Alligator mississippiensis: one gene and its partners. The protein of the gene in region 1 binds, or shares a complex with, the protein of each later gene. Links are inferred from orthologs where the notes say so. Each region holds a gene or a part of one and is shown on either strand. Other genes may lie near its edges.

Region 1 (7,995 bases):
GGAACTGGATGCCTTTAAGTCGGCAGGCCCGGATGAGCTCCATCCGAGGGTACTGAAGGCACTGGCTGACGTCATTGCACAGCCACTGGTGGTAATATTTGAACACTCGTGGTGCACGGGCCAGGTCCCGGAGGACTGGAAAAGGGCCAATGTGGTCCCCATTTTCAAGAAGGGGAGGAAGGAGGACCCAGGCCACTATAGGCGAGTCAGTCTCACCTCCATCCTACGCAAAGTCTTCGAAAAAATGATCAAGGCTCACATTTGCGAGAGCCCGGCAGGACAAATTATGCTGAGGGGAAACCAGCACGGGTTCGTAGCAGGCAGATCATGCCTGACTAATCTAGTCTCTTTTTATGACCAGGTTACAAAATGCCTGGACGCAGGAGTAGGGGTTGATGTTGTATACTTAGACTTTAGGAAGGCCTTCAATACGGTATCCCACCCCATACTGGTAAACAAGTTAAGAGGCTGTGACTTGGATGACTACACAGTCCAGTGGGTGGCAAATTGGCTAAAGGGTCGCACCCAGAGAGTCGTAGTGGATGGGTCGGTATTGACTTGGAAGGGTATGGGCAGTGGGTTCCCGCAGGGCTCGGTCCTTGGACTGATACTCTTCAATGTCTTCATCAGCGACTTGGACAAGGGAGTGAAGTGTACCCTGTCCAAGTTTGCGGATGACACAAAACTGTGGGGAGAAGTGGACATGCCAGAGGGCAGGGAACAACTACAAGCAGACCTGGACAGGTTGGACATATGGGCAGAAAACAACAGAATGCAATTCAACAAGGGGAAATGCAAAGTGCTGCACCTAGGGAGGAAAAGTGTTCAGCATACCTACTGCCTAGGAAATTACCTGCTTGGTGGAACGGAAGCAGAAAGGGATCTTGGAGTCCTAGTGGACTCCAAGATGAACATGAGTCAGCAGTGTAACGAAGCCATCAGAAAAGCTAATGGCACTTGATCATGCATCACCAGATGCATGATGAACAGATCCAAGGAGGTGATACTTCCCCTCTATCGGGCACTGGTCAGACCGCAGTTGGAATACTGCATGCAGTTTTGGGCGCCACACTTCAAGAGGGTGGATAACCTGGAGAGGGTCCAGAGAAGGGCCACTCGTATAGTTAAGGGCTTGCAGGCCAAACCCTATGAGGAGAGACTGGGGCACCTGGACCTCTTCAGCCTCCGCAAGAGAAGGTTGAGAGGCGACCTTGTGGCTGCCTATAAGTTCATCACGGGGGCACAGAAGGGAATTGGTGAGGTTTTATTCACCAAGGCGCCCCCGGGGGTTACAAGAAATGATGGCCACAAGCTAGCAGAGAGCAGATTTAGACTAGACATGAGGAAGAACTTCTTCACAGTTCGAGTGGCCAAGGTCTGGAACGGGCTCCCAAGGGAGGTGGTGCTCTCCCCTATCCTGGGGGTCTTCAAGAGGAGGTTAGATAAGCATCTAGCTGGGGTCATCTGAACCCAGCACTCTTTCCTGCCTATGCAGGGGGTCGGACTCGATGATCTATTGAGGTCCCTTCCAACCCTAGCATCTATGTATACGTTTACATACATTGGTTGTATGCTTTCCTGCTTCAAAAAAAAGGTCTTTGAATTGAAATGTTACCATAGATCTCAGTGTCCATGACCTTGGTTGTATTACTTATGTTAAAGTTGTGCATGCTCTATATTATTCAGGACCAGTAGGTTTGAGAAAGTCTGAACTTTTGAACTACTGTCCTACTTAAAAGTTTTGAGCATGACCAGTTGGCGTAAAAGTGACAAACAGGTTTTGGCACCAAAAATTGAGAGAGAAGAGATTCACTTCCTGAGGTGATTAACCTCATGACTGGATGAAGTTTGAAAGACATATCAAAGGAGTGATTGACAGGTGTGTGTGTTGTTTGAAGGAATGATTGGCATAAATCATAAAAGTACAACTGGTATGGAAAAGTGGTGTGATTAGAGGGCTATAAAAGAGCCCGAGCCTGAGGTTCTGCACAGTTGGTGTGTGACTGGTGACGTGTGACTGAAGGTGTAGGTCTGTGTGTGTAAGTGTGCAATTAGTGTGATTCATTTGAGAGGAGTGGATGGATGTATTGGCATTATCCATGGGTTTGGATAAAAGTTGTTGATTGTTGAGTGTATCTTCACTGTGTGCTGGCAAAGCTCCCTACTAGATGTTGTAGTCAATCCCAGACTGGCTGGCTAATCACCAGTTGCTGATAATCACCACCTTTGGAGGGTAACATATTACCCATCCCTATTAAAGGAGTGGAGCCTCTGCAGGAGAGGAATACTCCTGGGAGGGAGGAGGAAAACTATATTGACTCATTATTGTGGCTAATAGAGCCTGTGAGACCTGTGCCTGCATCCACAGCATTGTTGCAAGTGTGAAGGGAGAGAGGGAGCTTTGCTCTCTGGCTTTTACTCTCTCCCCTGTAATCCTTTGGTTTCTTTCCCTTCCCTGCTGATTAGTTCTGTATTTGATGTTGTTCATTGTTGTTTGTTAATTAATACTGTGATAATAATAGTCTTGTTGTTTCTAGTCTATAACGGAGTCTGTTGAATTTGTCCAAGTCCCTTTGTCACCAAGTTAGTGCCAGGCCATAGGTTTAAATTTAGTAGGCTGCTCCATCACTTTCATTTGCTGGGTGAGTTAATTAGATAATTTGCATAGCCCAGTCAACAGAAAGAGCCTGTTTCCATTAACAGGGCATTTGGAGAGCTAAATTCCCTGGCTTCCATGGAGCCACAGATTATTTTAGCCTACTAGGAGGGGCAACCTAAGGCACATGTGCTACAAGTTTGCAGTCTCTATGTGCAGGGAGGGGCAGATTGGCCCGGGGAGGGAGACAGGCAGCACAGTGGCAGACAGGGCAGAAAGCAAAGCAGATCAGATAGAGGAAGGGAATCAGAATAGCAATCTGGGGAGGATGCAGGGCTAATTTGTGGCATGCCTGCCAAAAAGGTTGGCTTTCATTGTTCTAGAAAATTACTACAATTGCAGTCAGTCAAATAATTTATTGCATGGCTCTTTCTTCATATGACTCTAAAAAGGGATGATTTGCAACTGAAGAAATAGAATTTAGACTGAACCATCAGTCACTTGGAGGATGATAAGCTGAGTTAAGTGGCTTTGACTACTTGTGCTGCAGCTTACAATACAGACAAAAGGTGAAACCCTGTGCTCAATGAAATCATGGCCACACTAAAATCAATAGAGGTTTGGCCACTAATTTCATCCATGGATTTAATCCTTTTAACAAAAATGAATATTCATAGTTAATTGCCTACAAATTCAGACAGCATGCTGAAATGGTTTAGTAGAAAAAGAATCCTCAATTAACTTTTTAAAAAATGACTTCTTTGAGCAAAAATTGGAGAGCAGAAAAATTCTCCAAAAGTTCTCCTGCTGGTTTAAAAATGAAAACCTGAGAGTCAAGGCAACAGGGATTTGTACCAGCCTGTCACCCATCCCAAGGACAGTCAACATCAGCTCCTACTCTCCCCTAGTACCACTCTGATGCACTTCCCAATCTGCCACTCTGCTCCCTGGTACCCCTGCCCCATCTGCTGCTTTGCTTATTGCTCCCTGCCCCATCTGCTGCTCTGTACCCTGTGTGCACTGCCTTCTGCTCCCCTCCTGATCATAGAAATCAGAGTCAAAGAAGAGGGGCTGGAAGGGACCTCCAGAGGATGACCTCTGGAGGTCCCTTCCAGCCCTGAGGCAGAATCACCCCTGTCCAAACCATCCCATACAAATCCCTCATCTAAACTCTGACACATCAGACCTAACACCTTAACTTGCCACAGGTAAAGCAGGGGAACCACAGCAGCCAATGTCTGGCTTCTGTAAAAGGTTGTTAATATACACTCGAGATCTTGGGAAAGCAGCCATGGCTCTGGCTAGAGAGGAAGGCAAAAACCCACGCAGTCCTCACCAGTGTGACCATGGGGTAAAATCCCTTCCTGACCCCAAATCTGGCAATCAGTCTGACCCTGAGCAGAGGAGCAAGAAGACCCTCTAGCCAGGAACCTGCAACTTTACTCCCAGCATTGGGACTCCCCAGCCCTGGCTGTAGCTAACACCCAGCGCCTCTGAAGGAAGCTTGAAGACAAGGAACAATGGTCTCCAGTTGCAGCAGGGGAAGCTCAAAAAGAATGCGGAGAAGCTTGAGTCCAGACAAAAGCCACTCATTGGATTAGAGACCTGAAGAACAAGCGTTATGAGGAAAGGCTGACAGATATGGGACTGTTCAGCCTAGAAAAGAGAAGACTTTGGGGGGATTTGGTGGCAGCTTACAAATATATCAGGGGTGAGCATCAGGGGCTAGGCAAACCCAGTGCCCCAGTGGAAAACCCCCATCAAAGCACCCCAGGGGAAAGCCAGGATCAATGGTCATCAACTCCTAGGTTTCAGACTGGATACAAGGAAAAACTTATTTGGGGTTTGTGTGACCGGACTCTGCAACAGACTCCCAGTGGGGGTGGTGCAGGCACCTGCCCCGGAGATCTTCAAAAGGAGGCTGGACGCGCACCTTGCTGGAGTTGGTTAACCCCACCTGTCTTTCCTGGCCCATGGGGGGGCTGGACCCAGTGATCTCCCGAGGTCCCTTCCAGCCCTCAGCTTCATGAATCTGTGAAGTTCAAGCTAGACTTGAGGAAACACTTTGGCACAAGGACAGTGAAGCCCTGGAACAGGCCACCCAGAGAGGTTGTGGACCTGGGAGATTTCTAGGACCAGACTACATAAAGCCTATGTTAGGATGTTATACTTGAGGACAGCCCTGTTTTGGACAGGTCCCACTTGGACTCCATGAGTGAGGTCCCTGCCGGCGCGTGCCCATTGCAGCCTTTCCCTCCTCCTCCCAAGGCGCATGCGCTCCACCACCGCACACTTGGAAGACCCGAGCGACACTCGGCTACCGCATTGCCCCATAAGCCCCGCCTCCACTTGAGCGCATGCGCAGTGCGCCGAACGCCGTTTCCTTGGCAGCCGCTGTTGTTGTTTTCGGCGCAACTATCGTGAGCAGCCGGGGGGGACGGGCGGGAGAGACCAAGTGAGGAAAGAGGGAGACTGCGGGAAGCAGCGGCGCCGCCGCCAGAGGAGACGCGCTGGGCTCGGCCAACGTGAGTGGGGTTCCGCCCGCGACGTGGGGCCCCATCCCCAGGTGTCGGGGGGGTGGGGAGGAGGGATCCGAGCGTGGCGCCGATCACGGGCCGTGGCGACAGGGGGCTTCGGCGGTACGACCGCGACCCCACGTCCTCGAGCCGCACCGTTGCCTCCCCCGCGAGGCTTGTGGTCTGCTCCGGGGGGGCGGGGCAGGGCTCATCTGCTCCCGGTGGATGACGTCACGCGCGGCTCCCAGGGGGTTCGTTCTCCCTCATCCTCAGCACCCGCTGCGCATGCGCGGGGTACCCGCGTGTTAGGGCTTCACATGGGAGCTGCATGAGGGTGAGGGTGGGGTTGGGGGTGCTTTGAGGGGAAGGGACTGGTGGGTACTCCCTGTTTTGCGTGAGCTGCCCCCCCCGGGGCCGAGTGGAATCACCACCTGCTCTGGGTCCACCCACAGTCCTAGCCATCCTGCTGAGGTCTTGTGGTCTGGCTTTGGAGCACGTCTGGTGCCAGTGTCCCACAATCATGTTCACGCTCGCTAAGCACCGTTCCAGTGGGAGCAGGCGCCCTCTTTAAGCACCTTGTTGCCTGTTCAGCACCCTCCTGGGGTGCTAGAGTGGCAAGGGGTATCTCCTGACAGGGGCTGACTAAAAACTGCATTGCGGTCTAGCACGGTTAAGCCCATGTCCAGTGAGTGCTTTAATGTAGTATTTTTAATAATTACATTCCAGTGATTTGCAGCTGTTGCAAGTGACAGTATGTCCAGGTCTATAGCACGGTGGTTCTCAGTCTTGTTAGCCTCGAGGCCTCCATGGCAGCTCCTTGCTTTCGCTCATTTTTGGGCTACAGAAAAATAACATGTTGGGAAGGACTCAGCCTGCACTAGGTCAGACTGGTTTTAACACTGGGGATTCCTCTGTGAAATCTCTGGGTTTATCTTGTAAATCAGGGGTTTCAAAGACAGTTGAAACCCTCTGAGCTAAATTAGGCCTGCAGAGCCCTGTCCTCTTGCCCCTGCTGCTGCCTGTAGGTCTCAGACTGAAGCAATTTTGGGAAAACCCAGAAAGACCTAGAATAGTACCAAGATTCAAGAATTGGCCCTTTCCTTTTGAGTTGGTACTAGCTTGATGTCTTAATAGAGTGTTAGGAGGCACTGGGCTATCTTAAGGTATAACAACATTTTTGATCACGGAAGACTTGATTTTTGCTTCTAAATAGGGCGTGTGCAATTTGGTTAAAGTTTGAATCGGGTAATTGCATCATACCAACTAAATTCTCTCATGACCCAAATTCGATAATGGTTTCTAAATTTTCTGCTGAATAGAATTTTATAATATGTATGCTTTCACTTCATCATACACTGTATAATATGTAAAACACTTGAGACCTTCAGAGTAAAAAGTGCAACTTTTTTTACTTTAGAGTAAAAAGTGTACTGTTGCATCAGTATATATTTATACAAACAACAGTAGTTGACTTGGGGCTGCCATTCTGAAGATTTGATTTGAGCATACATTGGAAAACTACTTTTTAAAAACAGGATAGATTGGATATTGGGGAAGAAAATGGAAAAGAAATTAGGCAGGAAGATATACAATAAGCTGTTAGACTCTCTGGATGCAGACTGCTGTTTTCCTTTTATTACTATCTGTTAGGAATGTAAATCTATTCTGAAGGATTCGTAGATTGAAAGGCAGAAAGGGACCTCGGAAGATCACCAGGTCCAGCCACCTGCACTAAGCAGGAAAGATAACTGGGGGTCAGGTGACCCCCACAAGGTGACTGTCCAGTCTCCTCTTGAATACTTCCTGGGTAGGTGGTTACACTGCCTCTGGAGGGAGCTTATTCTGCAGTCTGGACACCCTGACTGAAGAATTTTTTCCTAATGTTGAGCCTGAATCGATCTTCCAGAAGTTTGTGGCCGTTACTCCTGATTTTCCCCTCAGCTGCCCTGGTGAACAGTTGCTCACCGAGTGCTTGATGCACTCCCCTAGTGTAGCGGTAAGCTGCTACCAGGTCCCCTCTCGGCTTTCTTTTCCTCAGGCTGAATGTTTTTTTCTTAATGTTTCTTTAATAGGAAGCCGTTTTCCAACATCATTAGTGCTGGTCGAGGAAAATAATATTGTCAAGATAAAAGTTAGAATTAGGCAGACAGGGTTCTTTGGATAAATTATATCTTTTATTAGACCAACTAAATCATTGGAAACATTGTTCTTTGCAAGGTTTTGGGCACAAACACCCTTCTCCAGGCATAGGGAGAGTCTGCTGTTGTTGTGTTGTGTGTTTGGATGGAATAGAAGCCAATATGCAAAATGCAGCTCTGTGAAAAAGCAAATACATGGCAGTAAGGATCAGACCAAGAAACCCATGGACCAACATAAATATCCTTACAGAACCAACAATCGCCCTAAAGAACCAAGAAAGCTGTACTATACAGCCAAGCCCTTCGATACCACCGAATTTGCACTGAGGAGGACACCCGCGATCGTTGCCTTGCAAATCTCAAAATGGCTTTCACACAACAAGGACGCTTCTCCAGAGAGAGAGATCACACTTTTGAAAGAGCCACCTGGATACCACGTGAAGAATTACTGAAGTTCAAAAAGAAAATCCCCATGAATTGCACACCTTTAGCTATGACATATCAACCCTCCCTGGAACCTACACGGAAAATCCGCAAATAATTGCAACCCGTACTAGAAGAAGAATCAAATCTTAAAGATATCTTCCCAGAACTGCCCATCCTAACCTTTAAACAAGCACCAAACGTTGCCAACCTTATTACCAGAAGCAAACTTCCTGTGGCCCAAAGCACACTGAAAGGATCCAGATCATGCCAGGGCAAGAAATGTAAAGTCTGCCAACACATCTCCACCACTCTTACAATA
Region 2 (7,290 bases), on another chromosome or scaffold:
ACAAACACCTTACGTTTTGTCTTGATCTAACTTCAAATCATTGAAGTTAGATCAGGAGTGCTCAACCTGCAGCCCAAGCAGCCATTGCATCTGGCCTGTGGGGCTCCTCACCAAATGGAAAATTTGTCAGAGGGGAAGCAGTAGCCATTAATATGCCAAATCCCCAAGCCTGGTCGAAGCCAGGCCACCACCATCCCTGCAGCCTGGACCATGCCTCCTTCCCCCTTCCCACACTCCCCTTCCCCCCCGCAGGGCCAGACTGGGGCTGATCATGCCTCCCCAATCATACTCCTTTCCCTCACAGGGCTGAGCCATGGCCCCCACTTTTCCCAGGTGGGGCTGGGTCACGCCCCCTCCCCCTGCAGGACCAAACCATGCCCTCCCATGAAGCCTCTTTCCCCTTTCTGCAGAACCAAGCTTGAGCTCGGCTGCAATCTGTCCCCTCCTCCTGGACCAGTGGTGTCTGCCCCTGGGAGCTGGATAGGAACTACTATCCAGGAGCAGCAGACCAGGCATTGCCCATGAGCTCCCACAGGGAAAAATGTTGAACACCACTGCCCTAGACTGTTACATAAAAATAATACAACAAAGTTTCCAGGGTCATAGAACCATAGCTTCTCAGTGCTGGAAGGGACTTGAGGTCATCTAGCAAAATACAGGCCACAGGCCAGATCCAGCCCAAAGGATTCTATCCAGCCTGTGGCAGGTTCCTTGGCCCTGCTAGCCCAGGAGCCAGCCCAGGCACACATGGCAGGGCAGTGGCAGAACAGAAGCCAGACTTGATTTCCTGGCAGCCTCCATGGCAGGCTGCTGCTGCCTGCATCTCTGCTGCTGTCACCACTGGTGGACCCAGCCCCACTACCTGGGCACCCTGGTGCATCCACTGCCAGGGATGGTGGATGGAGCAGCTGGGCGGGGTCTCCATGGAGATCAGCCTGGGACCCCCCACAAGCAGGCTATGCTCAGCTGGGTGGATGGGATGGGGCTGCAGGCAGGCAGGAAGCAGAGTCTAGGAGCAGGATCAGCAGGCAGGGCTAGGGCTGGGATCACAGGGCAGTGACAGTGTGGGGTCAGGGGCAGAACTGTGATCTGCTCCCTGCATGTCCCTGTTCCTCATCGCAGGGATGTGCAGGGACTGGGTCATGGCTCTGCCTTGTGCCCTGCCCACCCTTCCCTCTCCACGACACTACTCCCCACCCACCTGTGGTGCCCTCCCATTTGTCCAACGCAGTGCAATGAATGGTCTCCATGGAGACCTTGCCTGCCTGCTCACATTATCTGGCACCCCCAGCACAGGGTGCAGGGTGGACGCCAGGCTGGACAGGATCAACTGCCTCCCCTCCCCTCCAGCACCTCACCAAAACTCCCTAAAGAGCCCTCCAGCCCGAATCATTGTCCCCCTGCCCCCAGATTAATCCATCCCTACTCAGTGCCTGCCTATTCTGCTCTCCCAACTGCACATAGATGGAGGCTATGCTGTCGCTGTGGGCCACCTGCTCATTGTTGCCAAGAGTATAATTATCATATTTGTACGATAATTTCAACCCTTGTACGATCTATAACAGCAGAAGTCTTCAAAATGTATGATAATTTTTGAGGCAGCTAATTGATGCAGCAAATTCTAAACCCAAGTCACTCTCAGGGAGTTTCAACTGACTTTAGGGTTTGCTGCCAGCACTTCCTTATGACCAAGGATCCTGGTTTTCCCTGATTTAAGAAATAAATAAATAAACAAAAAAATTGCAATTTCTCTGATAAAACACCCTGGAAAATCTGCGATTGAAATGAAAGGCCACTTGTCCCCCCAATCCTGCTGGTGCCCCTCATTCCTTCCACGGTCCCCCGGCCCTGCTTGTGCCAATCACTGCCACCCCCACAGCCCCACCCAGCCCTGGCAATGCATCCCCAGCGCATGCGGCAGCAGCGAGGGGCACAACGCCATGGTGCTGCCCCTGCTGCTGCCTTGCGCAGAGGGCATGTCACTAGGGCAGCGCGGATCTCGCAGCAACAAAGAGATCCCTGCATGGCCCTGCCGTTCCCTGAACCACTGGTTCGCACCTGTCGGGCTGCAGATGCTCCAGGGAAGGGCAGCAAGGTGGGAGCCTGACCCTGCAGTGTGCAGCCTGCACCCACCCTGCATATATATCGGGGGGGGGGGGGGGGAAGGGGGGCACAGGTCCTCCCTGTTTCCTGGGAGTGTGCGTAGCGGCAGGAGCTGGCCTTACTCTGCTCACCCGCCAGACAAGCTGTGGCCTCATGCTACTCCCCACCAAGGCCCTGTGGCCACACACTGCAGCCCAGGGCCACACGCCCCATGCACTGCCCGGCTGGGACAGCAGCACCAGCCCTGCCCTCCCTATGGGAGGCCTCTATTCCCCCAACCCTGCACCTACACCTAGGAGCTGCTCTCCAGGCTGCCCAGCAACTATGTGCGCACACACGCACACGCTGCCCCCTGCCTGACCGCCCTCCTCCCACCCGCCCCAGCCCACCTGCAGAGCGCTCTTCGCAAAACTGCAAAATCTTCAGGTTTCTCTGATAAACATGAGAGATCCATGTTTTCCACCGGTAAAGGGGAAAATCCGTTGTTTTCTCCGTTTTCCCACAGGATCCCTGCTTACAACTGCTTGCCTCAAAATAAAGAAATGCTTCAGCGTTGATGACCCAGTTCTTGCTCGCTGCCTGGCTAAGACTTATTTACATACTTATGTGCATATTTTCAGCATACAATCGTTTTTCAGCCAATACAATAATTTTGAGCTTCCAATAGGATCATTTCATATTTAAGACCCGGCAACGCCGTGCCGCTACGGCGCCCTCCCGGGCAGGACCTGTTCTCCCCTCTCCAGCAGCTCGAAGCCGCGGCGCCCCAGAGAAGTCTCATCTCCAGGGCTCCCCCGACGCGCTCAGGGGCCGGGGCCGGCAGCCGCACGGCAGCTCCCCTGAGCAGAGGGCGCGGGCGGGGCGACGCCTTGCACCTCACCGCTCACCCGAGGCGCTGCCCCGCTGGTGCGGCCCGCACGCCCCGCACGCCAGGCTGGCGGTGTCGAAGTAGCGCGGCTCGCCGCAGTCGCGGGGCCGCCGCAGGGGCAGGGAGAAGCTGTGCCCGGCCGAGGGCCCCGCGCCCAGCAGCAGCGGCAGCAGCAGCGCGACGGCGGCCCAACGCCCAGCCGTCGCCATGGCGACCGGGATCCCGCTGGCGGGGGTGGGGGAGGTCCGTAGCCAGACGTCGCTGCGGAGCGCATGCGCGCCGTCTGTAGCAATCACGGCTCCCTATAGGCCGCCTGCGCGCGTCCGGGATGCAACCCGCCTATGCGTAGTGAAACCTGAACCTAGCACGCACGCGCAGTTAGCACCGGAAGTGACGCAACGCAAGCCGTACGCGCCTCCTCCTAGCGGGAAGCGGTTGGAGGCTCGCGCGTCTGTTGGCGGGAAGGTCAAAGGGGAGGGGGTCGCGCCTGCGCGATGCGGCGAGGTGTGGGGCGGCGCCATCTTGTTGCTGCCTGACTTGGGCGCTGAGTGAGGGGACGGTTCCTCGCGCCTGTGTAGTGGGCACCGGTGTGTACGGCGGCGGGAGGCGGCTGCTCGCGCTGGGCCGCGTCGCCTGCTGGCTCGGAGGGGGGCGGGGCGGGGTTCCTCGGCGACCGGCCGCCCCACGCTTGCAGAGGGCCAGAGGCGGGGGAGGGCGGGAGCGGCCTGTTCTCCCCGCCGGCCCCAGCGCCGGCTCTCGGCCCGGGCGGGAACGCGGGATGCGCCGCCAGCCGGCCCGAGCGGGCCGAGGAGCGGAGGACGGGGGCGGCGGGAGCCCAATGGCTGCGCACGGGAGCCGGGAGCCTCGGGCAGCAGGAGCGCGCGGCTGTCGCGCTGCGGGAAAGGGACCTCCTGCTTCGGCGTCGGCCACTTCTCACACCAGCCCCGGGCGCTGGTGCTTCGCTGCGTCCCCCGCTGGCTCCTGTGTGGGGCTCCGTCCTGGCGGCCTGCTGCGGAAAGGAGAAGGATGGGCGGCCCGGCTGTGGCACTGTGGGCCGGGCCCCGTTCCCGTGCGAGGAGATCGCTGCCTGCGTTGTGAAGTGGCATCAGAAATGGAGCTTGAGCTACGCAGGGTTTTAGGCTTGGAGCCGGTGGCTACCTAGGGTTTCACAAAACCCTTCCTGCTCGGTCTCTCTCAACCTCCTCCTTTGAAGGCTTTGCTCAAGTGTTGATCTGTTCATAGGTATTTAAAGAAAAAAGCTTTCTAAGCTACCTGTAGCTTTGTTGGGTCGTTCCTTTAAAGCACTTGTTGCCTTGCATGCACTTGCAGCTGCTGGTTGCATGGATGGACGGCTAGTGGAAGTTCATTGGCTGCACTTGGCTCTTTTTTTATCTGTGGGACAACTTCAGTTTCACTACTGTTGTGATCTTTGTCTGGTTTAAAGAATAGTAGCTGTATGTTAGGCCTGGGATGTATCGCAGGGATCTTGATAGTTATCGTCACAGAAACGTCGCTGATTCTGGGGTGAAGACAGAATATTGGGTAATAATTGGTATGGGAATGCAGAAGGGAAGTAGAAAACTGCTGACATACTACAGACCACCAAATGAAATGCAGGCATACGGATTTGACTTCGAGTCGAAGGTTTGTTGGGAAAATTGGCTTTCCTGTTGAATTCTTCCCTTGCATGTTGGCGTTGCCATTTTATCGATTGAGAAGATAGCTGTACAGATGTGGGAAGCTCTTTATCTAGAAGTGTGATTTTCAGACATGCAGTTGTTTTAGCTTGTAGCTGTTTTTCCAAAACAAGGATGTAACAAATTTAGAAATTGGCACTGGATTTGCCAGTTACAGAAACGTTTTTGGTTTTATTTTTTGTGCTAATTCAGGTGAAGCAATGGGCTGTTCTGGTTATGAGGTGGCTGTGCAGATCTGTCTCTTCCCTGGTCTGTTGCAAGTCTTGCTGCATAATGTTGTATGCTTAAACAGTTGTCAGCCAGAGTTTATTATTGCTAATGATATGATGGTAATTCCATGCATAGGTTTACCTTGTTTCTGTAGGGGAATATGCTATGTAGTCTATGGCTTTCATGCTATAGGAATTGTTTAAAGACCAGGATAAGTCTAAGATTCTCAAGGTAGTGTTTTTGGTTCTGTGATTGAAGGACAGTAGGTATTTGGGGGGAAATACAAATGAGTTTAATTTGTAACTTCCTGTACTCTCCGGAATTTCTGCTTGTTGAATTTTTTTGCTCTGTCTTATGGTTTTCTTCATTATGTGTCTTCAAGAATACCATGGTGGTGAGTAGCATATTCTGTCACGCACTTCAAAAGCAGGTGGATTTCAGAAGAATTGGACATTTAATGTAATCTTCAGTGGGACTTATGCATCTTTCAAGGACTAAACGAAGAGGTTTTTCCTTTTACCTTATTGGCCATTGTTTCCTGTGAACAGTTCAGTGTGGCACAATTGATGACCCATTAATCTTGGCATGTTTTCATCATTTGCAGAAGCAACTTTACCTTTGAATATTTTACTTCTAAATGGATTCACAGGCAAAAGTGCAAGGCATAACATTTTGCTGAATTACATTGTCTGACTTGTATTTCTCTTGGAACAAGGAAGGAATCCTCTCCATAACAACCCAAATCGTGGTTTCATTACAGTGCTTGGCTGTTAATATTAGCTATTGATATGGATGTACAATAGCAATGTGGCACAGTATTTTAACCAGATGTGATATCAGCCATTAATTATGTCTCATTTTCTTTCCACAGTTAAGTTGATTTTACAGAATTTATCAGGTCTTCCAAGCAGAACCAGGTAAGCTGCCTAAAGGCTAACATTTCTCGCTCAGTATTGTCAAAAGACCACGCAAAGCCATTTCTCACAGACTTTATGACTGGGAAATAGGAAATGCTTTCCTGAATGCATTTGGCTGCTGCAAGAAGAGAGACAACGTTGTTGCATTGTTTGTTATATATACGCATTTGTAAGCAGAACTGGTTAGTTGGTAGACAACTTGTCTGAGAGCATAACATTCGTTACAGTCACTGAAATGCTTTTTTGGTGATGTAGGGGTTTTTTTTTTCTTCTTTTTTCCCCTCATCTTTTATTTTCAGTTTTTTCAGTGCTGTGATAGCAAGTGCCTCTAACACAAAGAGAAGACTTTGGTTCTTAGCATCTCTGACAAGTAGCAGCCATGCCAAGAAAGACTTGAGATGGTCCTTATTTATCGTGGATGGTGAGGAGTTGACTCATGTGGATCTTGTTGCCTTTAGATAGGGAATATTGACAGATTGTGCATACTTCCAGGTGGAATAGCTAATGGTTTTGACTAAATCTACTTCAAGATTAAAACAGGATTCAATGATTGTGGTGAACTTGTGAGCTTCTTGCTTGATTTCATAAAGCTTGATTGAATCAGGGATTTTCATTAAAAAGGTGTTAGTTTAAGAGCTTAGATACTGCGATAGATGAGTACTAAAGACTTGCTATCATGTGTACCTTTTTGTCTGCAGGTGATTTTGCTGTGAGTTGAGCGCAGCATGGCTGTAGTCATCCGTTTACAGGGGCTTCCTGTTGTTGCGGGCCCTGCAGATATTCGCCGTTTCTTCTTGGGATTGAATATTCCTGATGGAGGAGTGCATATTATTGGAGGAGAAACTGGGGAGGCTTTTATTATTTTTGCAACAGATGAAGATGCACGACGTGCCATGAGCTGTTCAGGAAGCTTTATCAAGGACTCCCGCATAGAACTGTTTCTCAGCAGCAAAACGGAAATGCAGAATACTATAGAAATGAGCCGGAAAAGGTTTGATCGTGGAAGAAGAGAAACCACATCTGGGTCTAGACGAACAAGTCTTAGTAATTCTGGTGCCTCGAGCGTCGGCAACATTTCACATTTAGTTGCGGCTATTACAAAAGGAATGAGTAAAAGTCCATCAAATCACACAGATGCTGGCTTTCATAGCAATGGTACAAGACATGGTGATTCAAGCATAGCAAACTATAACCAGTCGAGGAAAGAGTTGCTTTCAGGTAACCTTTATTTATTTCTGAGAGGTTTACCGTACTTTGCAACTGAAGAAGAAGTACGTGTTTTCTTTTCTGGGTTACGAGTGGATGAAGTGATCTTCATAAAGCGTCGCAATGGTCTGAATAACGGAAATAGCGTAGTAAAATTTGCTACACCTAAGGATGCTTTGGAAGGACTTAAGCGTAATAAACAATACATTGGCTCAAGATTTATAGAAATAAGTCCAGCCCCAGAGCAATGGATCAAATACTGTGATAGGGCTAGCATGAAGAATGAGAT
Region 3 (7,729 bases), about 95 Mb from region 1:
AGAGCAGCTCCCTGCAGGTAAGTCAATGGTGGGGGGGGTACAGATCAATGCCCCCATGGGTGAGGGAGCGAGCAGGGCAGGGGCTGGGCATGATGCCCAGCCAAGGTGGTGCATGGGGTCAGGACAAGGAGCAGGACAGAACCGTGGGAGGTTCCTCCAGGGAGCGGGGGTAATGTGGAGCACATGCCCCACCAGCTTTGTGCACGGGGCAGAGGCAGATGTGGGCTGCCTACTATGGTCTCAGGGGTCCCCACCCTGCTGCAGGGGGGCTTGTGCTGGCCGTGCCACCATGGTAAGGTGCCCCCTGCCCACCTGGCAGCAGCAAGGGCAGGGGCGGTAATAGCATGGAGTTGTGCCCCCTGCTGCTGCTGGGTGGGAAGGGGTCAAGCAGCCAGCATCGGGCTCCCAGGGGAAAGGCAGCAGAGCAGGATGCCCCGAGCCCACAGCAGGCAACCTGCATCCGCTCTGCTCCTTTCGGCTTTCAGCTAGCCATGGTGGTGGCAGCAGCAGGACAGAGGAGAGGTGGACATGTGTCCTGTCTTCCCCTTTTGAAAAGGTGATCACTCTAGCCAGGCGCCTGCCCGCCCCCCTCCATTGCTCCCAGCAAAAAGGTCTGCTGGGTGCGGGCGAGTAGGTGCACACAGAGCAGCAGTTTGCAACCTGGCTCATCCCTTTCACTCCTCCCATGTTCTCAGGGTCAAGTGGACCTGCAAGGGTGGTCACTGGCATGCAAGACCCTATAGGGGCAGCCTAGGGACAGCCTCACCAGGATGGCCTGCCCTTGCCCTGAGGTACAGGCCAGAGGTTGGGAGGGGGCAGACAGTGGGAAGAGCAGGGCTCAGCCAGGTGAACATCTGCCCCCACTGCTTAAGTGGCACAAGCTAAATTAATGATTCTCAACTTTTTTAGCTACAAGCTCCCCCCACACACACACTCTCTTTCGGAGTTCAGATCTCTCAGTGATTTTCAACTGGGGTGCCATGAAATACAGAAAAGTTACAGAGGTACCTAGAGGCTAAAAAAATTGAGAAGCACTGGTATAGAAATGTATCTTTGCTTAAAGAAAGATATATTTGGTGTCATTTGTTAACAGTACATTTAACACTGGTATAATTTCTTCCTGAATTCTTTGTTTTGAATAAGAGATATATAAATATATGTACATGCACGCACCCATTTGGTGTGCCACCAATTTTAATCCATTAAAAAAGGCATCCCAAGTATCAAAAATTGAAGAAACACTAGTCTACATGTGGTATGAACTGTACCTTTGATAACAGGATAGACCTACCTTTCTTAGAATAAAGTTGTATTATTTGTCTTTCATCTTAAAGCTTTAAGGTTAATTGGCTTACCTTTCTTCTCATTCCCAGGACTTGTACTGAATCTTAGAGCTTTCAGCATTCTACAGAATTAGACCCTTGCTGCATTTCCTCATCTGTAAAATAGGGATAACAACACTTGACCAACCTTATAAGCTGTACTACATTTGCCAGCATCATCATTTTGGCAAATCCATCTACTCAATATAAGTATTTACTCCTGAGCTGGGAACCTAACCTCTCCAGAAACTACTGGACCCTCTAGTTTCCCTAAACCTGCCTGTGGCTCTCCAAAAATCCTTCCTCCCTTACATGCCTTCTGAAGAATTCAAGCAGTAAGATCCCTGCCTCCACGGGAAGCCCTTTGAGGCAAATCTGGTGTCGATCCAGCTGCTTTCACCAGCTCAAAATCAAACAAACTTTTCAAAAGTGATGTTTATGGTTTTTCTGTGTGGTTGACCTAGTGGGATAGGGGGAATTAAACTTAAAATGGATTAAAACATTCTTCTCAGTCACAGATAATTAATCTGTGAAATTCGCTACCAGCCAATATTACCAAGGGAAATAGCTTGGTAAGATTTTTTGTTGTTGTTGTAGGAGGGGGAGGGGTGCAGAAAGGAAATGGATTTGACATTTATATGACTACATTCTATAGTTACATTAGCTAGGCTAAAATTACAAGTGTTATCACTATTCATGCTGAAGGCTGTAAACTGATCTTCAGCTGTGGTCTAAGGGGGAAACCAATTACATAGTTTCATAGTTTCATAGTTTGTAGGGTCAGAAGGGACCTGAGCAGATCATCAAGTCCGACCCCCTGCCATGGCAGGAAAGAGTACTGGGGTCAAACGACCCCGTCAAGGTGTTCATCCAGCCTCCTCTTAAAGACCCCCAGGGCAGGAGCCAGCACTACTTTGCTTGGAAGTTGGTTCCAGATCCTAGCCACCCTGACTGTGAAGTAGCGCCTCCTGAAGTCTAGCCTGAATCTACCCTCTGCCAACTTGTGACCGTTATTTCTAGTCACTCCTGGTAGTGCTCAGAGGAACAGGGACTCCCCCAATGCCTGCTGGTCTCCCCTGACTAGTTTATAACAGGCCACTAGATCCCCCCCTCAGCCTTCTCTTGTGGAGGCTGTACAGGTTCAGGTCCCGTAGCCTCCTCATAGGGCCTGCCCTGCTGCCCCCTGATCATGCGGGTGGCCCTCCTCTGGACCCTCAATGCTGGCCACATCCCTCCTGAAGTGCAGCGCCCAGACCTGGACGCAGTACTCCAACTGTGGCCTGACCAATGTCGCATAGAGGGGGAGGATCACCTCGTTGGACCTGCTTGAGATGCATCTGTGGATGCATGACAAGGTGTGGTTGGCCTTCCTGACCGCGTCCCCACACTGTCGGCCCATGTTCATTTTGGCATCAATAATGATTCCAAGATCCTTTTCTGCCTCTGCACTGACAAGAAGGGAGTTCCCCAGCCTGTAGGTATGCTGCTGGTTCTTCCTCCCCAGGTGCAGTACCTTGCACTTGTCAGTGTTGAAACCCATCCTGTTCTCTTCTGCCCACCCCTGTAACCTGTCTAGGTCCAATTGCAGCCTATTCCTCCCTTCTAGTGTGCCCACATACTCATTTCTTCCATACTCAATTAGTTGTACTGAAGGACTTCACCCTGGTTCTCTGAAAACATCAGACCCTATAACATTTTAATAAGCCTTAGCAAACTGATCCGTTCCTCCTGGGGCTCCATGCGTGGTTAGTAAGGTGACCAAATTTTTAAAATAAAAGTAAGAGAGACTTTTTGGCAATTTTTAGGGCCAGGAAATACTCAGATAGAAGAAAAAAGGACACTCAAAAATAATATGGGATGGTATCATCAGACTCTAACTTGCCCCAACACAGGCGAGTGTCTCAACCGAGGGAATATTTTCTAATGCAGTCATTCACAGCACGATGTTATTCATGAAACAAGTGTCAATTTCCCTCTGAGCAAAAGAAAAGCTGGGAAAGCGTGGACACTGATTGACCCAGCTTCTTTCTCTCCTTCTTCCATTGGACTCTTCCTAATGGGCAAAGGACAAACTGTGCTCAGTGCAGCCATGCCTCCTGAACATGTATTTTGTAGTTTTTAAGTTCAGCACACTGGGGGAACAGGAACAGGACACTGAGAACAGACCTGCAATTTCCGTGGCCCTTGGGGCAGGATACACCCTGCCGCAACCCAGGAGAAGCTGGTCCCTGAGAGCCCCAGGCTCTGTGCTTGCAGGCCTGTCAGTCTTGTACCTTTGTGCTGCACTCAACAGGGCTCCTGCCTGGTTCAGGGATCATTTTAAAAGGATGGGCCTGACCCTAGACTCAAGGGGGAAGGCCCCTAGCACTAGTGTGAAGCACCGGTAATGAGAAAAGCTGCTGCACTGCCTTAAGCCACCATTGTCAGGTCTTAAATAGTAAATGATCATACTGGAAGCTCAAAATTATCTCATTTGCTGTAAAAATATCCTACACTGGGAAATACGCAAATAAGTCTTCTTCTTATTGACTTTACATTGCTCAGTATAACCCACCAGTGAGTGAGAACTGGGTTGTCAGTTTTGAAGCCCCTCTTCATTTTGAGGGAAGAAATCATAAGAAAGTGCTAACAGCAAACACAGAAGTCACTGAAGACTCCCTGAGAGTGATTTGGGTTTTGCATATGTAGCATCAATGAGCTGCCTCAAAAAATCATGCAAAAACTCAAAAATCATCCAAAATCATGTGTGCAAAAATTAAGTTTATTTCCTACCTATGGGGACTTTTTACCATCTTGTATCATCTACATTTTTCCCAGAGCCTAACGAAGGGACTTTGCTCTGAAAGCTTGCAGAAAAGGACAATTTTCTTCCCATTTTCCAGTTGGTCTAATAAAAGGTATCATTTTGGAACCAAGAGTTCTAGTCGTTTGTATGTCCTACATTTTGAACACTTTTACTATTATTGATTGTACCTCGTACAAGGCTTGAAATTATCGTGCAACTATGATAACCCGGCAACACAGCCCTAAGTGGAGGCCAGACGGGAGCCCCAGGGCCCCATCCCAAATCGGGACTCAACCCGCCTGCAGCCCCATCCCCCGGGAGAGCCAGCAGAGCTGTCGTGGCTCCAAAACTAGGTAGAACAACCGCGCATGCGCGGGCCGTCCAGCCCCTCAGGGGGAGCAGAGGCGCTAACTGGGCCACGCAATGGGGGCGGGGCGCCCGTTCTGACTCGCTTTCATGGTTCCCATAGCAACCGGGACGTTGGCGGCCTAGAGGCTCCCGGTCAGACATGGCGCTGCCGGAGCCAGTCCGGAGACGGCTCAGCAACTTCAGCCGGACTGTATTCAGCGACAGCAACCGCACCGGCCCGGAGTACCCCGACGGCGGCTGTAGCCCGGGTAAGGCCTGGCTCCCGTGCCAGCGGCAAAGATGGCGGCGGTGGCGGCACCCTCGCGGGTCGCTGCCAGGAACCAAGATGGCGGCCCAGGTGCCTCCTCTACTTCGCTCGCACATTGAACCAACGGCGCAGCCCCTCCTACACTCATTCACTCACTCGCAGGTGGAAGGGAGCCTCCCTCCCAACCTGCGAGCGAGCAGTCCCCGCGGCTGCTCAATGCCTGGGACTACAGCGGCGCCACCACATAAGGGGGCGGGGCGCTGAAGGCGGGGCAGGAACGGGCTAGCCCGTCAGAAGGGCACCGCCTCCTCCCGCTAGGCACGGTGAGCGCGTGCGCAGTGGTACCGGCTGAGCTGCACTGCCTTTGTCTGTCCTCGGGTCCTGCCAACGGGCGGGGCAGGCTTTTTTCTGCTTAATGAGTTAGATATCCAGGTTGTAGCAACATGAGGCAAAAGGAATCAGAACTCGTGGTAGAGGTGACATCTGTTGTTAGACCAACTAGATTTTTGCAAAAAAGAAAAAAAGTCTTTAATTGCAATTAAAGATAGCTTGCAAGTGAGGGATACTTTGACCCTAGCTGACTTCCTACCAGTGGGGCAGGGGGCTGGACTCGATCAGCACTAATGTCAATGAAATCTATGAAGCCTTTTTTTCCCCCCAAAAAAATCTAGTTGGTTTAATAAAAGATATCACCCCTACCACAAATTCTGAATTGGACAGAGGTACACATGGTTGGGTGTGTGTAAGTATTTACACACATGCAAACAGGCATACACACAGGTGTATATTCACACCCCTAACTTTCCTGAACTCAAGCTCTCTTCATCAGTGGCAGTGAAAGGTCTAGGCCAGCGGTTCCCAATCTGTAGTACACGTACCACCAGTGCTACACAGACACCGTGGCAGTGGTACACATTAACAGATTTATTATTATTATATATGACAAAAATTTGCTGGTGATACTTAAGGTCAAACTGAAAAATTTGCTGGTGGTTCTTAAGGTTGTATTGTTTTAAATTGGTGGTGCGCAATTTGTCAGAGTTTGGGAACCGCTGGTCTAGGCTCCTCTTCGCAGCATCTGCTAAAGTGGGGTGGACTTCAAGAAAGCTTGTTCTCTCTCTGTATAGATATACACACACATATAGAATCATAGTTACTTAGTCTGTAAGGTACATACCTACCCTGCCTTACGCCTGTCTTTTTAATTTTTTTTTAATACCAAAACAGCCTGGCTCCAGGGCTTCCAGGACTGTAGAAAAAGCACCAGAGGTAATTGAACTAGTAGTATAGGCTCAGGTCCTTCAGTAAACAGCACCGTTCCATTTCTGAACCCCCTGTACCTCTGCTGTTCCTGCAATTTGGGGGTTTTCAGGTGCTAAAATAACACAGGGAGTCACAGGCATTGGATTTACCCATTTCAGTGCTTAAATTCTCTCAGTCCCCTCTTTATAATAGCAAGCATCATACTTTATAAAGCCTGGTTCGATACCTTCCGCTTCTCCACCACCTTTAGTATCAAATAGGATTTTTTTTTTACATAAAAAATTACAAATGAAGAAATACTTTGCTGTTTGTAATACAAGGAATAAGATAGACAAATACACCCAGTATCTTACTCCGGTGCGTCCTATTGCACCCTACAGTAAGCAGCAATTAAATTAGTTCAAGAGTGGGGGAAAGAAGTTGACATTTTTGGCTACTTTTGTCAACTATTTACCTGAAACTCAATCTTAAATCCTAATCCAAGTATTAGGAATTTGGCCTAATATTGAAATATTAGGACAGGTATTTCAGAAATGTACCCATTGGAATAATACTTGGAACAACCCAGTGTAGCATAGCATCACAAGATGGTCACACAGAAAATTAAAAATCTTGGCCTCTGTCATTAATCAAAACCATTACCATTATCCATAAGTAACTTGCAACAGTTTAAAATGCCTCCTTGTAATTAGATGTTACTTATCCATTGAAGGGTAGGCTGCTGATATCAACTGATACGTTGTTCCAGTTCTGAACGGCTCTCCAGAAGCAGTTCCTTTTCTAATATCTGGAAATGAACTGTCCTGCATTCATCAGGACAGGCTGCAACTAAGAAAGCATGTTATAGCTAAGTAATGAACATTTTTTGGAGGTCTGTAGGTCATCTCCCATTCCTCCTAGTTGGAATAGTTTTTATACATAAAAATGTTGGACTATTAAACATGTCAGTCATCTTGTACCTTCTGTTTTTAGTGTAGACAGTCCCGCCTCTTTACACTATTACCTTAAAGCCTTGTCCCAGTTCCTTTACTATATTCTCCTGCCCCTCCACCTAGCTAATTAATTATCATGAATACTTCAGCATCTGATAAAAAGATTTCTGGGATATGTCTGAGAATTGAAGGTACCATGACTGCATGAGGCTGAACTGGAAACAATGATGATGCTTTCCGAGGTAGAGCAAGGACAGGTAGGAGACTGGAAGTCAAAGAGAAACTAGCCAATATTTGAAGATGGGTTCAATGATATAGTGTTGTTACATATCAGGTCACAAGTCTTAAAGAAAAAAAAAGATACAGAACTTTTGGGTTGCACATGCAGAAACAAGAGATGTTTAACAGGAAATGGAAATGAGATCATAAGAAGAATTTGGCACCTGCCCACAAATGGTAGCAAGTGCCAGTTCTTCTGAACTGCTCTTTGGGACATAAGAGAAACAGATCATTAGTAATTCATTCAGGTATTTATTGATATCATACTAAATATGAGGTAATGCGAATAAGCTTGTCTAATTAAAGGCAAAACTGTTCTCTTGTGTTCTTTTTAAAATATACAACTTTTTTTTAATACCAAGTCTAATCTTTTGAACCTGTGGATGAATTTGAACTGTTGTGGAACTCTACTATCTGCATCTTATCACAGGGCTCAAGAGTTCTGGTTTTTCAGGTTTTATCAACTAACTTCCTCCTCACTACAGTGTTTGGTTTGCAATTCCATTTTGTTTGATGGACATTCCAGTTAGAT

What was found. Proteins that work in one complex are often made in the same cells at the same time.
Region 2: AHI1 (region 1) and TMEM67 share a complex: the UniProt entries of both Homo sapiens proteins name them as parts of the tectonic-like complex. The link is inferred for Alligator mississippiensis from reciprocal best matches to the Homo sapiens genes AHI1 and TMEM67.
Region 3: AHI1 (region 1) and TMEM17 share a complex: the UniProt entries of both Homo sapiens proteins name them as parts of the tectonic-like complex. The link is inferred for Alligator mississippiensis from reciprocal best matches to the Homo sapiens genes AHI1 and TMEM17.

What each region holds. Positions count from the first base shown.
Region 1 is NC_081824.1:117,719,432-117,727,426, reverse strand, and holds the start of AHI1 (jouberin), read left to right. Parts: upstream 1-4,969; 5' UTR 4,970-5,121; intron 5,122-7,995. UniProt on the Homo sapiens protein: Involved in vesicle trafficking and required for ciliogenesis, formation of primary non-motile cilium, and recruitment of RAB8A to the basal body of primary cilium.
Region 2 is NC_081826.1:43,994,256-44,001,545, forward strand, and holds the start of TMEM67 (meckelin), read right to left. Parts: upstream 3,233-7,290; 5' UTR 3,181-3,232; coding exon 2,991-3,180; intron 1-2,990. Other genes in the region: RBM12B (RNA-binding protein 12B), read left to right, coding at 6,521-7,290. UniProt on the Homo sapiens protein: Required for ciliary structure and function. Part of the tectonic-like complex which is required for tissue-specific ciliogenesis and may regulate ciliary membrane composition.
Region 3 is NC_081824.1:212,938,156-212,945,884, reverse strand, and holds the start of TMEM17 (transmembrane protein 17), read left to right. Parts: upstream 1-4,497; 5' UTR 4,498-4,615; coding exon 4,616-4,724; intron 4,725-7,729. UniProt on the Homo sapiens protein: Transmembrane component of the tectonic-like complex, a complex localized at the transition zone of primary cilia and acting as a barrier that prevents diffusion of transmembrane proteins between the cilia and plasma membranes.